Linked DNA regions of Diceros bicornis minor. The protein of the gene in region 1 interacts with the protein of each later gene in a pairwise test. Links are inferred from orthologs where the notes say so. Each region holds a gene or a part of one and is shown on either strand. Other genes may lie near its edges.

Evidence for each region. The genes of interacting proteins can lie anywhere in the genome.
Region 2: the proteins of CCDC33 (region 1) and BLK interact in a two-hybrid assay, tested with the Homo sapiens proteins (3 studies listed by BioGRID and IntAct). The two-hybrid records come from large-scale screens. The link is inferred for Diceros bicornis minor from reciprocal best matches to the Homo sapiens genes CCDC33 and BLK.

What each region holds. Positions count from the first base shown.
Region 1 is NC_080744.1:67,225,326-67,232,842, forward strand, and holds the start of CCDC33 (coiled-coil domain-containing protein 33), read left to right. Parts: upstream 1-4,442; coding exon 4,443-4,758; intron 4,759-5,607; coding exon 5,608-5,972; intron 5,973-7,517.
Region 2 is NC_080750.1:62,725,804-62,732,729, reverse strand, and holds the start of BLK (tyrosine-protein kinase Blk), read left to right. Parts: upstream 1-3,853; 5' UTR 3,854-4,019; intron 4,020-6,926. UniProt on the Homo sapiens protein: Non-receptor tyrosine kinase involved in B-lymphocyte development, differentiation and signaling. B-cell receptor (BCR) signaling requires a tight regulation of several protein tyrosine kinases and phosphatases, and associated coreceptors.

The sequences.
Region 1 (7,517 bases):
GGCTGAAAGCCAGAGCTAGAGGGCTTCAGGGATGACGGAAGACTCTGAGGCCAGGAGGGGAAGAGTATGCAACCTGATGGGGCCAGAGGCAGGGGGACTCGATCAGAGTTACCACTCAGAGGGGAGAGCTTCAAGGTAGCCAGACCCCGGCCCTAACCACCACAATCAGTGGAGGGAGCAGACCAGGCTTCTCATTTTGCCTTTACCACTTACCAGCTGAGTGACCAAAAATGAGGCCCTTTCCTGCTCTGGGCCTCAGTTTTCCCGTCTGTGCAATGGAGAGACGCTGGCCGCTGGGCTGCACTTCGCCAGTCTGAGTCTGTGATTCTATCACCCCGTAAGCTTCTGGCGCTGTGGGCTTGAAGGGAGAGGGGGTGCGCCTGGGATGGTTCCACTGTGGGGAGGAGGTTGCTGGAGGGGGCCTGGACGTGGAAGTCCCGGTGCGGAGCGGTGATGATCACATGATCACACTGGCCTGGGAATCAGGAGACCTGAGGTCCAGGTCCACCCCTTCACTCACCCACCAGATCTCTCTGCCCCTCTGTTTCCCCATCTGCAGGAGGGGATAATAGTCCCAGCTCCCAGGCCCTTGGGAGCATCCAGTGAACTCACAGATGTCCCTGTAGGAGGATTCAGCTCTGAGCAGAGGCCAGGAGTGGGGTGGGGTGGGGCAAGTTGGAGGTGAGTCCTTGAGGTTGGGGGTCTGAGGGCCCACAGGAGCCCTGGGGAGTGTCAGCAGGGGAGGCTGAAAGGAGCCACTGTGGGAAACAGGAAGGGGGCCCTCTGGGGTGGGCTAATTAAAACCCCAGGCTCTTCCAGACAAAGCCAGCGGACTCTGAGTGGCCATTCTTCTGGGGAAGAAAGAAGACTGAGGGCCCCATTAAGGCCTTTCATGCTGGGACTGCAGAAGTCCACTTACAGTCAGCACTGTCGTCTCCTCTCCTCACCCCACACCCTGCCCCTTCTTGACTCCTTCTGTGGGAGCCAGGCCTCTGCCTGGAGTTTAAACCTTCTGAAAACTGCAGGAGGCTGAATCAGGGAGGCAGCTGGGAGTGGAGGGAATCCTGGGAAGGCAGTAAGGATCTGGTCCTGCTCTGCTATCCTGGGCTCAGTTTCTCCACCTATAAAATGGGAGTGCTATCCAGCCCTGACCTGCTAAAATTCACTGAGGTTTTCAGACTTTCTCCGTGGAACTGAGATTAGACCTGGAGAAGCCTGAGCATTAGGAACTACTGCCTCCTGCCCTGCCACTTACCCCCATGCTGCTGCCCTCCCTCCTGGGGACCTGCCTGCCCACCTAGGCACCAAGATGCATCTGAGTCCAGGTATGGTCATCACTTCTCACAGATGGAATCCAGATAAAATAGCCAAAAGAACCAGTTCTTATTCTTTTCTGCACAAGCAGAAGCTGGGTTTGGTTTGTCCATCAATTCATTTATCCTTCCATTCATTCATTCATTCATTCATTCTATAATGCTTTAACAGTCCTCCAGGCACCAACCCCTTGCCCAGCTCTGTCCTGGGCACACAGACATGATCCCTGAAGGGATGTTCAGTCGAGTGTGGGCAAGTCATCATTTGAGACTGGAGAGGGAGGTACAGAGTGTGGCAGAGGAGGGAGATACTACTCTGGCGCCAGAGGAGGAGCCTTTTAGCCCGTCTGGAGGACATCAGGTGGGGCTGGGCAGTTTGGGCAGAGGAAGCAGCACCAGCAAAGGCAGGGAGGGGAGACAGGGCAGGCCTGGCCTGGGGCAAAAGTGAGCCTTCCCTAGGACATTATGCTGAGTGAAATAAGCCAGTCACAAAAGGACAAATGCTTTGTGATTCCACCCATATGAGGTGCCTAGAGTAGTCAGGTTCATAGAGGCAGAAAATAGAAGGGTGGTTGCCAGGGCTGGGGGAGGGGAAATGGGGAGTTGTTCAATGGGCGTAGAGTTTCAGTTTTACAAGATGAAAAGAGTTCTGGAGCCTGGTTGCACAGCAATGTAAATATACTTATCACTATTGAACTGCACACCTAAAAATGGCTAAGCTGGTAAATTTTATGTTATGTATATTTTACCACAATTTTTAAGAAAGTAACCATACACACCCACCAAAAAAATGAGCCTTTCCCAGAGACTGAGTGGGGGAGGGGAGGCTAGCAATGGGAAGCGTGGGGGCATCAGCTGTGGAGGGCCCTCAAAACATGCTAAGACCAACACAATCACCTCAGATCCTCTGTAGAAATGTGGAGGGAGGGAAAGAAGGGAGCAAGGGGGGAAGAGGGAGGTGTTATCTTCCAAGCTCAGATAAACAGACTGGGAAGAAGGGTTGTGTACATGGGACCGGCTTGCAGGGGTGGGGGCTGGGTGCAGTGCACAGAGGTTGGCCCTAGGACAGAGAGACTGCCTTCCATCTTGTAACATCTCTGGGGGTGATTTCACACATGCAAGGGGAGAGGGCCACTTTTACTGAATCACTGAATCTCCAAGACCTTAGACCTAGCAGAGGCAAACCATGGCCTCAGGACCTAGGCTGGTGGGCCAGGCCTAGCTGTTGAGACAAAGGTTTCCAGGGAGCCTCTGGAACCTCTTCCCCAAATGGCCAGACTGTGGCCTTTCCCGATATGACTTAGAGAATTTCAGACTGCCGGTGCTGTGGGAAGACTTAGCCACTCGACTTCCACCCATCGTGCAGATGGGGCCACTGACACCCAGAGAGGGAAAGGGATCTGCAAGTCAGGTGACTAGAACTCTGGTCTTTTAAAGCCTGTTTGCCTCATTTTCTCCTTGGGGGACCTGAAGACACTGAATCGCCATCATTGCAGAGGAAGACTCCCATATACATTGGGGCGCTTAGCTGGGCTGGCCAATACCATCTTTAGACTGGTTATTTCTTACTTTATGAAAATGACGCATTCTACTCAAGGTGACTTCAAGTGAACTCTTTTGAATGAAATCTATGCTGTCCATAAATGTACTCTTCAGACTCAGAACTGTACTTCTACAGTCTTAGGGTACAGAAGCCCCTAATAGTATGAATTTCAATCTCTGAGCCAGTCCCAGGACATGTTTAGTAGGGGAAAGTATAGATGGACTTAGAATATCTAGGTTCAAATCTCAGCTCTGCTTCTTGCTAGCCACGTGATCTGAGATTCTCTCAGCCTGAGATTCTTCACCTGTATAATGGGGATAATTATGTTTACCTCACAGAGCCATGCAGAGTGCCTGGCACTCAATAGCTGCTCAGTGATGAGTATCATAAATGATGCTGATGATGATACTGGATAATGATGAGAATGATGATAGAGGTGATGATGATGGAGGTGATGGTGGTGATGATGGTGATGGTGGTGATAGCGGTAGTGATGGTGATGGTGGTAGTGGTAGTGGTGGTGGTAGTAATGGTGATGGTGATGGTGGTGGTGGTGGTGGTGGTGGTGACTGATGGTGATGGTGGTAGTAATGGTGATGGTGATGGTGGTGGTGGTGATGGTGATGGTGGTGGTGATGGTGGTGGTGGTGGTGGTGGTGGTAGTAATGGTGTTGGTGATAGTGAAGGTGGTGCTCATGGTAGTGATGGTGATCGTGGTGATAGTGGTGGTAGTGGTGATGATGGTGATAGTAGAGATGGTAATAGTGGTGGTAATAGTGATGATGGTAGAGATGGTTCTTACTAAGGAGTGTCTAGAATCTCCCCTCCCCAACTGGGTATCAGCAAGACCCAGGATCAGGAAGGATGGGTTCCAGCTTGACAACTCTTTGGTATGAGAAGCTCTGGGCTCTCTGTAAAGTGAAGCTGTGCCCCATATTGTGAGTTTTAAATAAGAAGGTACACTGGTTCCAGAAGCAGGTGCTAAGGGCATGCTCCCAAGGAACATACACTGTCCCTCTCCCCTTGAGATCCCATCCCCATCCAACTCAAGAACTCTTGGGAATGAACAGGCATGTGGAGACAGGCTCTCCCGAAAATTGGACGTCCTGATTACCCCATACCCATGTGCTCCTCACACCAGTTCTCCTCATCCCTGACCCTGCTCTAATTTTTTCCATAGAACTTATCATCTTCTAGCATATATTACAATTTACTTATTTTCTATATTTAGTGCTTATTTTCATCTGTTCCCACCTACCTCCCCCACTAGAAGATAAGCTTCAGAAGTGCAGGAAATCTTTGATTCACTGCTGCATTCCAAATGCCTAAAATAGTGCCTGGCACATAGTAGATGCTCAATAAATATTTGTTGAATGAACAAATGCTAAAAGGGACAGATCAATGGCTGCCTTTGTTACCCAGGACAGAATCAGCTTCCTGGCTTGTTACCTGGTTTCTCCCCAAACAAACAGAGAAGGGTGGGGTGTGGCCCTGAGCACCCAGCGTGTGGGCTTTCAGACTGGGCCCAGGCTGAGACTGTGGGCAGGAAGGGGCAGTGCTCAGCCCAGGGGGGGTCAGTCCCCGATATGGCCATGGCCTTCAGGGGGCCTGAACCCTGGGTCCCTGCATCCCTGCTGAGCCAGAGGCTGAAGACCGAGGAGAAGACACTGGACCTGGAGTTCGAGGTCTTGAGTGTGGGGTTTAATGAGGAGGGCAGATACGCCCTGCGGCTGTCAGCTGAGAACCCCCTGCAGGCCAGCTCTGGGGCTGGTGTGCAGCTGCAGGTAAATGATGGGGACCCCCTCCCCACCTGCTCTGCTGTCACCGATGTCATTGAGCAGCAGGACCCTGGCCAGAGCCTCACCCTCACCAGGAACAAGTTTATCTTTACTTTGCCCAAAGGTATGAAGCAAGGGTAGGGTTTGAGGGGAGAGAAGGACCCTCCAACTCCTGCCCCAGCCCTGTCAGGGACCCCAGGGAGCCTCAGGGACACCGGGAGGGGCAGCATCAGAGCTCTAGACTGAATCCCAAAGCTCTGCCTGTGTGATCTTGGGAAAACGCTGGCCTTCTGTGAGCCCCTTCCTCCGTCAGTGTGACATGGGGACGCTGATGCTGGTCACAGGGTTGGGTGAGGAGGAAGTGAAAGGACAGATGACGAATGGCTTTGTGAATTTACAAAAGCTAAGCACACAGCAGGTGGGGCCAGTCCCACTGGACGTCACACTGAGTAACATTAGAGCCAGCACCCTGAGTGCCCAGCCCTGAGAACCACTGGACTGTGAGTATGGAGGGTGGACAGAGAGGTGGAGACTCGGGCCCTGCCTTCAGGAAGTTTCCAGATCAGGTGGAGAGGCAGGAATCCCAAACAGAATAGTTAAGTGATCTGGAAGGAGCAGAAGATCCACGCCTAGACTATGAGGCCATCCAGGCAGGCTTCCTGGAAGAGGAGGGATATGAGGGAATGGGGAAACCAAGTCCCAGGCCTTCCGGTGACCAGAGATCAGGGACAGGTTGAACTCTTCCCCAGAACCATCTCACAGGCTAAGAGCCCCCCTCTCCCCCTTCAGTAAAGGGAGCCAGCCGTGTGTGGGGCCTGAGAGGGGGTCACCCACCGGGGAAATCTTAGCCAAGCCTGACTTCAAAGCAAAGGCCAGGCAGCCCAGGTTTCCCGAGGGCCCTGGCTGTCCTCCCTATCCCCCAGGGGAGGCAAGGAGACCCCATAGACTCTCTGACCCCGTGTTTCCTCACCAGGGTTCTGCAAGAACGATGAGCAGCACGACGCGCAGCTGAGGGTGGAGGCACTGAGGCTGTGCGGGGCCTCAGGAAGTGCAGCCCAGCGCGTGGGCGAGGCCATCTTCCCCATCTATCCTCGCCCAGACCAGCCCCGCATGAACCTGTCGGCGCGGGAGCACAAGGACCTGTACCGCTACTGCGGCAGGCTGGCTCTGCTCCAGGCCAGCGCGGACCCCACGGCCCGCCACTGCGGGGGCCTGGCCTACAGCGTGGCCTTCCACGTGCACCGGGCCCCTCAGCCTCCCTCCTCCAACTGCTCTCCGGGCCCGGGCCAGCCAGAACCTGTTTCACCACGCCCAGAGCCCCAGCTGGCCAGGCTGCAGGTGGGTGACCTGGGTTCCCGCCCAGGTTCTGGCATCACTGCTCCCGCTAGTAGAAGACCCAGCGTCTCTGATAAGACTGGCTGTCCCCAGGCCCTCACTGAGCAGAGCAGCGGAACTTCCCTAGGTTGCCTCAGTCAGTTCCTGAGAAAGTGCAGTCTGAGGATGGAGACAAGGAGTCCCGGTTTGAAGGGAGAGAAGAAAATGGAGCAGAGACCACACAGAGCAGGGACGCCACTGGGTAGGGTTTCTTTTGCCCAGTGGATGAGTGTCCCCTGAGACTCTTCAGCCCCAAACTCAATCTCACACGTTCTCACCAGGTTTCGAGGGAGGCCCCAAGTGATGGTGAGATAGAAGTGCCCACCCTCCAGCCCCTTCAGCTCCCACCACAGCCAGGAGGGACTCAACGCTGACCCAGGACCCTGGCAGCCTCAGGCCCAGGCGCAGGAGTCTAATCCTTGTCCAAGCTGTAGGAGGGTTCCCCAGTGTGGCCATGTTCTGCAGCCAGGCAGTGTGTCTGGTGGGCCTCACAGCCAGTACAGGCGGAAGCTAGTAGAGCAAGTAGTAGCCCATTTCACAGGTGGAGAAACTGAAGATCATCCCCAAGGATGCTTGATTCCATTTAATGCCAACAACATTTCCTGGGGACCTTAGTGCACAGTAGTGTATGGAATCCAAAGCTATGTAGTCCCTGGGCTCAAGGTGCCGCCTGACGTGAAGACAGTCAGGCACAACGTGGGCACCATATGGTCCTGTAAGGCATGTGCTAGAAGGAGAGCTCTAGTGAGGGAGTGTGTGGATCCGATCTTACAGCCTAGCAAAGGCTTTTCAGAAGAGATGTCATCTGAGATGAATCTTTCATTCGTTAGTTCATTCACTCATCCATCCATCAAACATTTGTTAGGTGCTGACTCTGTCAGACCCCATGCTAGGTGGGTGAGATTTAGGGATGGCAATTCTGGGCTTTAAGGAGGATATTCCAGGAGGAGGGATAAGAATAAGCTGACTGAGGGGAAGGCTGGCAGCAGAATGATCTGAGGTTGAAACCAAAGGTTTACAGCAGAAGGTGCCTGGCTCTTCTGCAGTGCCTGCCTCCAGCAGAACGTTGGTCTGGGGCTGAAGTGGAGCCCGGGCTGGTGGGGGAGTTGGGCTGGGAGAGGGCTGATGGGTGGGGGAAAGTATAGAGAGTCAGGGGACAGTGGCAAAAGAGCTAGGTGGATATTCAGTTTGAGAGGCGATGGGGGACCACCAGAGGGGTTTGTGCAGGAGAAAGACATGATCTGAGCTGTGGTTCAGACAGAGTGATCTGGTAGCATGTGCCAGGAGAACTGGAAGGACGGACCAGGGACCCAGGGACCAGCTTCTCTTGCCCATTCATTCATTAGTCAGTCAATCAACAAATACTTTTCACCACCTACTGCATGCCCAGCTCTGCTCAGTGCTGAGGATACAGTGGTTGACTTGTGAGTGAGAAGGATGATACCTGGGTTCCTCCGTGACATTCTGTTCCCTCAGACTGCAAGCTGCCTGACTTCGGGGGCTGGGCCC
Region 2 (6,926 bases), on another chromosome or scaffold:
TCTTAACTCTTTTGGATCTCTTTCTTTGGATTTGATAACTTTTATTGTTCTATCTTCAAATTCACATCTTTCTTCTGCCATCTCAGATCTGCTATTGAACCTATCTAGTGAATTTTCAATCTTACTTCTTGTAGTTTTCAGCTCTAGAAATGCCATTTGATTCTTTTTTATAATTTCCATTTCTCTGTTGAGATTCTCTTTTTGTTGACTTGTTGTTAACATAAATTCCTTTAATTCTTTGAGCATATTTTCCTTTAATTCCTTGAACATAACTATAACAGCTGCTTTGAAGTCTTCGCTAAATGCAACATCTGGGCCCATTTGCAGTCAGAGTCTATTAACTTGTTTTGTGTGGTTAGTTTCCTTTTCTTTGCATATCCAGTAATTTCTAGTTGAAAATTGGACATTGAATCACAAAGCTGGTCACCTCCATGGTGTGCAGCCATTGATATCACTGTGCAATTTGTATTTTTAGTATTTCACTTTGTTTTTTAGTCTGATTCTCTAAGGGTATCCCGTTTCTGCATTGTTTAATGGTCAGGCAATTATTTGGACAGAGGTTATGCTGAGACATTTTGAACCTGTAAACTTTCCACCTTCTGCTGCCCAAGCTGCGTGGTTGGAGGAACAAATTCAAATCTACAGCCAGTCGTCAGGTCTACCCTGGCTTTCACTTTTTGCTATACTCTCTCAGGTCTCCCTGACGCATGCGTATTTTAGCACTCAGTCAGGGATGTATGGGAAGTTTACTGTCTCAGGCCTTTCTTGGCTCTCTTACTTCCAGGATTTCTCCCATTACATTTCTGGGTAATCTTCTGCCCACTCTGAACAGAGGTTATAACCTCAAGCCGGTAAAGCTGTAGTTTTTCACTTTCTGTCTAGAACTGATTCCATGACCTTTAACCCATAAAACTGCAGATTTTCATTTCCCCATCCCAGACCAAGTCTGTCACCCCAGCTGATAAAGCTGCTGGTTTTCACTAACAGCTCTCAAACCAAGCTCCACATTCCCACTGGTAAAGCTGTGATTCTTATCACCCAAGCTACAGGATAGGGGAGGAGAGGACGTAGCACCTCCAAGTAAGAAGACCAGAATGGCCATTCTGATGCAGCAGCAGTTTTTCAAGATTAAACATTTAGTTTATTGTCTGCCTTTGGTCATTTTTCGAGTCCCCTGAAACGGTTGGTTTTGACAACTTTGTCTAATTTTATACTTTTCTTCAGAGGGAAATTTCCCATTTTCTCATACCACCATTCCTGAAGTGAATTTTGGACTGGATTATTTTAATGTTTCTTCCACTTAAACATTCTTTTGCCCACAGTTTTTGATTTTGATCAGAAAGTTACTGATGTCAGGAGGCTGATGTAGACACAATGAAAGAGAGCTCCAAATTTTGCATAAGTCACCTCAAATTGTGCAAAAATAAATAGGGGAGCCAGTGAGGCTGAACATTGAACTGGGTGTTTCAAAGCTGGGGTCTGGTCTCAGTGCAGCCCTGAGAGCGCTCTCTGAGGTTCTCTAACAAAAATGTTTAAAAAGGATACCCCTAGCCTCACCTAACACATCTCACTGCTTCTGATCTTCTCCCCTGGGTCCTGCCCCCACCTCCCGTCTGCCTTTCTCATGGATTCTATGACTCTCTGAAGGTGAAAATGGCTGAAATTAACTTTCACTTCTGCTCAGACATCTGAAACCCAAGAGCAAGGTCATTTCCTTGTTCTTTTCTGAGTGACTGCTGGAGTCCATTTTTGTTGTTTTTCTTTTTCAATGCCTGTCTTTTGGAGGTGGACAGAAAGGTGAAGATGTTTTTCCAGACCACAAAAAGGCCAGCTTACCTTGAACCTCCCCTCCCTGCAAACTCTCACATCCCCTCTCACTCCAACCTTGAATAAATGAGCCAGAGTCAGAGGAAAATGGATTTTCTCCTTAGCAAAGTGGATTTCCTGCTCCCCACTATATTCTCTATATCCTTAGGTCCAAGTATATAAAAGTTGTCCAAAGGTCACTTATTTAGGCCCCACTGATAAAAATATTAGACATAAGTCAAACAGCATCATTGGATCCTTGTTCAGTAAAAGCCTCCATCTAGATACCTGCCTCCAAGAGTCTGTAGGATTCTTAGTCACAAATCACATTCGAGGCCTTCTCCCTGGTAACTCCCCCCAATAATCCCTGATGGAATTATTCCTCCTGCCTCTGATCTAATATTGTGCCTTGTTGAGGCTTCTGTGGCTGCACTTACCATATCCCATACCCCATTATAATTGTCAGTCTAGCAGACCCCCTTCCCATGACCATCAGAGGAGGGTCATGTCTATTTCTGTCTTTACCCTCAGCCTCTAGTGCGTGCTTACCACAGAGCAAACACTCACAAAATTTGTTGTGTTAGTTGAATTGAAATAACAAGACAATAATCTTATCTCAAATCAGTAACTTTTGAAATCATAAGTTTAAGGAGTTTGGGATTTTTTCAACTTGTGTTTAATGCTTAGGTTTAACTCTCAGGTGCCAGGAGGTGAATATAATAATCAATTCATAATAGGTATGATTCACTGAGCATGGCTGGTTCTGAACACTCTTCTGGGCCCTTTGCTACCCAGGATAGAAGAAGACAAAGCAGTTTTAAAGATAAGATTTGAGACTTAGTTTAGACATATTCACATCAGCTACCAGTTATTTGAAGTTTACTATGTGCTAAATACTGTAATAGATATTTTTATACATTAATCCACTTATTCTCATAAAAACCTTTTGGGGAAATGAAGCAGATAGTTTCCAAGGACACTTAGATCCTAAGAACTCTATGTTGCTGCTGCTGTTGCTGTGAACATCTGTCAGAAAGCTCTTTCCTACCAGGAACTAACAGCGAGGTATTGTCTTAGTCCTAAAATCCAAGGACAGAAACTCCATGAGGATACTGAGATTCTGGATTGTGATGCCAGGCCAGGAGTAGAAGCAGGCCTATCTGAATTCTATCCGCCTCAAGGTTTCCAGACATAGAGGCAGGAGAAGAGCCCCCCCATTGGCTCCCTTTGTTCCATGTGTCAGAAAGCAGGCGACCAATGGCTCACCATGTCTGGATGGACAAACAAGTCTCCCGAGGTCATCTCAGCAACCTTCTTGGTCCTGTTGGTCCCTCAGCTGGTGTAGTACAGGACAACATCTCACCACTCTAGATGTTAGGGTCCCTTCCCCACCTCCTCCATCATTCTCTGCTCCTCTGAGTTTTCATAGCCAAGTGAAGCAGCACGATTGAAGAGGCCCTGAGATCAGAATCAACAACTGGCTAGAGTGCTATAAAAAAGAAACAGGGAATTAGCATTTACTTATTGAGAGCCAATTCTGTGCCTGTCACTCACACCCATTCTATCATTTGTGCTCATAGGATCTTATGGGCTAGGTGTTATCAGCACTTTTTGGAAGATGAAGCAAAACCAATACGGCTGAGAGAATGGCTGCCCTGGCTCCCACGAATGGCACAGGCAGCAGAGCCCAAGCTCTTTCTTGTCTTGCAGACAAATGTGGCCAGCCAGAGCGAAATACCCTGTAGAGTTAGCTTGACTCTGCGAGGCTCGGTACAGGAAAAACACCACCTGTGTTGTCAAACCAAAAGCCCACGAGAAAACTTTCTGGGGGCGGAGGGGCATTATGACCGATGTGGCCTGGGGCAGGAGAAAGACCAGCTGCCTGTGGCCCTTTTTCATGGGCTTTTCTGGGACAGTGGTGCCCACTGGGCCCAGTGAGCCCTTGGAAGCTTTTTGAAGCACTGGGGTGGAGGGGCGGGGCTCTTTGGGGGCGGCTGGTGAGGCTCTGACCACAGACCGAGGAACCTGCCATCTCCGCCTGGTGCTTGCTGCCTGCAGGAAGCCACGAGCTCCGTGAACTGATTGAGACGACTGGGATGGGCTTTTTCTTTGGGATTACATCAGAAGTTGCTGGTTATAGCTAGAAGGCTGCGTCACCACAAGGGCGCTGGGATTTGAAGAACTATGGTGAAAAGCCACTGAGCATCGCCAAGGTAAGACGCTACATCTTCTGCCTTCCTGATCGTCTCATTTCCTTCAACTGTGCAAACAGTGCTCTGAGGCCTGTAGCTGGGAGAGCGGGCAGGAACATCACTGTGGAGGCTATAGACAGAGAGAGAAGACATTAATGTGATCTGAGCCACAGCTATGAATAGACTGCCCCATTGTTTGTTTGTTTCTATTTTAGAGAGACTTTTCATTTATAAAAATTCATCTGGGTAGACTCTGCTTCTTGGGCTTTCTAAGCTGGAAAAGGCAGTGGATGTGCCACAGAGAAAAGACAGGAGAAGGCTGTGGGGTGGGGAGATGGGTGGGCACACACGTGGCAGCTGTGGGCATCAATCATGTTACTCAGCCTCCCTAAAAGTGACAGTATTGACATTTACGATGCAGAGCTAACAGGAGCTGGCAGTGATGTATGCAGAGTGTCTGACTCAAGGTCAATGATTGGGTGTTGCTTTTGTTTTATTTTGTTGGTTTTTGAATCAAGTTTTCCATTTTTCAGATACCATGGGTAGGGTGACGGAATAGATTTAATGATGATCTTTTGCCTAAGAGCTCTATTTTGGCCAACTTCGAAAAGGAAAGAATAACTGATAATATATGTTGAGAAAATTTTTTAAATTCTAGGGTTTTGACAACTTTTCTAGTCATTTTCTAATTGTCCATTGCTTCCACCCTCAACTATCCACATTACCAAGGAACCAAAGAATTGTTATTGTCGTGCTCCATAGTTATAGAGAAGAATTCTGCATGATACATGTAGATACTCCCCCCTTCAGGATGGGAGCTTGATTCCCCTCACTTTGAGTGAGGACTGGATGTAGACCAGAGTATGGGAAGGGAGAAACGGTAACTCCATAGTGGAGAATCCTGACAGACTCCACCGGCAGCAGGTGATCAGGTTAACAGAGTAACCCGCAATGCCAGTAGAGTCATGAGAAAACATCAGACAAACCCAAATTCAGGGACAGTCTACTGAATATTAGATCTTAAAAATTGTCAGGGTCATGAAAAGCGAGGAAAGATGGGGAAACGATGACACATCAGAGGAGAGTAAGGAGACACGACAACTAAGTCCAGAATTCACATCCTGGATTGGACTGGATCCTGGAAAAAAAAGTCATTGGTAAAAGTAGACGAAATCTAAATAAAGTCTGGAGTTTAATTAATATCATTGTACCAATGTGATTTCTTAGTTCTGGCAAATGTAGCATGTTAGGTAAGATGTTAATATTAGGAGAAAGTGAGGGAAGGGCATATGGAAAGTTTCCATAGTGTCTTTGTAATTTTACTGTAAACCTAAAATTAGCCCAGAATAAAATGATAAAAACAATTTATCTTCATCCTGCCTGAAGGCAGAAATGGTCAAAATCTGAACATGCTTGGGAAAGCTGGCATCCATGGCCCAGTGGTCCCCACTGTCTCTCGAACATTCTGGAACATAGCAGGCCTTTTGCATTTTTTACCATTCTCTTTCCCAACCCCCACCTTATTCCTGGAAAGCTCTATATTTCCCTCTCCTCATGGTATTTCTCATCATTCATCTAATTTTTCATTCAGCACATGCTTTCTGAGCCCTCACTCTGTGTCAGAGGGTTTAGGACTAAGTCCCCCACCCTCTGTCTGCCCGGCAGAGCTCACTGTGCTGATTCAGGCTCTCGGGGCTCCAAGCACATGCCCAGCTACCCAAACATGACCCCTCCCTGGTAAGGAAGCAGGAGGCCGAGAATGGAGGCAAGCGAAGGCCAGACACTGCGTGGAATACTGGATGGATTCTGCCATCCTCTGGGCTCAACCATCCCCACAGAGTCTGTGGCCAGTCAAGCAGCTGTGAGGTGTGCTGGAAAACAGTTTCCTGCGAGCAAAGCTGTGTCCTGAGGGATGCAGAGTGGGACTCGAAGAGCCAACTCCTGCTTGAGTGACAACCTGGCCTGGGAGCCCACTCTGCAGCCCTAGAATCTGCAGCAGCCAGAGGAGGCCACCAGGGGCCAGCATCCTTGCTTGTAAGGTCCAGGTGTGTGGAGAAGCTTGATATGCCCCCACCACCACCCCCACACCCCCCACAGGCCCCGCAGAGCAGGTGTGCCCTTGTTCAAAGATGATGTCTCAGCTAGATTAGAGAAACGCTTCAGAAGCAGGTGAGAAAGAAGAAAGAATTATGAAGCCATAGGAAGACAGCATTTAGATGAAAATCACACCACTTAGATGAAGATCAAAACTAAAGAGCTGCGATTACCACTGGGCCTAAAGTACCTTCCTGTCACATCTCCTGCTTCCCCCACTGCCAACCTGAATGCTTTGACTACACCAGCCACGCACTGCTTCTGGAAAGCACCAGGCCAGGCTCCTGCTAGTCCCTCTGCCCAGGATCCCCTCCCCGCTGTCTCATCTAGGTAAGTCCCACTTGTTCTAATTCTCAGGACCCGTGCCAATGTCTTCTCTTCAGTCACCAGTGCCCAAATCACCCCCTGTGTCCCCGTGAACCTCCAGCACGTGCTTAAAGCTATTTGTTTGCAGGTCTGCTGCCCTTCTGGGCCTGAGCTCCTCCAGGACAGGGACCAGGCCCTCCATCCCTTCCCCTCTGGGTCCCAGCACCCAGAACAGTGCCTGGCACAGGATGGGTACCCTGTGAAATGGCTCTTGAGTGAAAGAAACGAGGACAAATTCTTGAATGCAAGTGAAGATTAAGACATGAGGAAGAAAGTTTGAGGGAGGAAAAACGTGTAAGATTTAGAGATCACCCTTAGCCACAATGAGCTCTGATGCCATCGCCACATGAGGGTTTTAACGAGGGTCCTTGCAGAAGGAGACCGGTGTCACTAGGTCTCTGGCATGTTTTGCTCCCTGCAAGGCAGTGTGGGCCAGAGGACAGTGGGCCTTGGGGCCAGCCAGTTCTG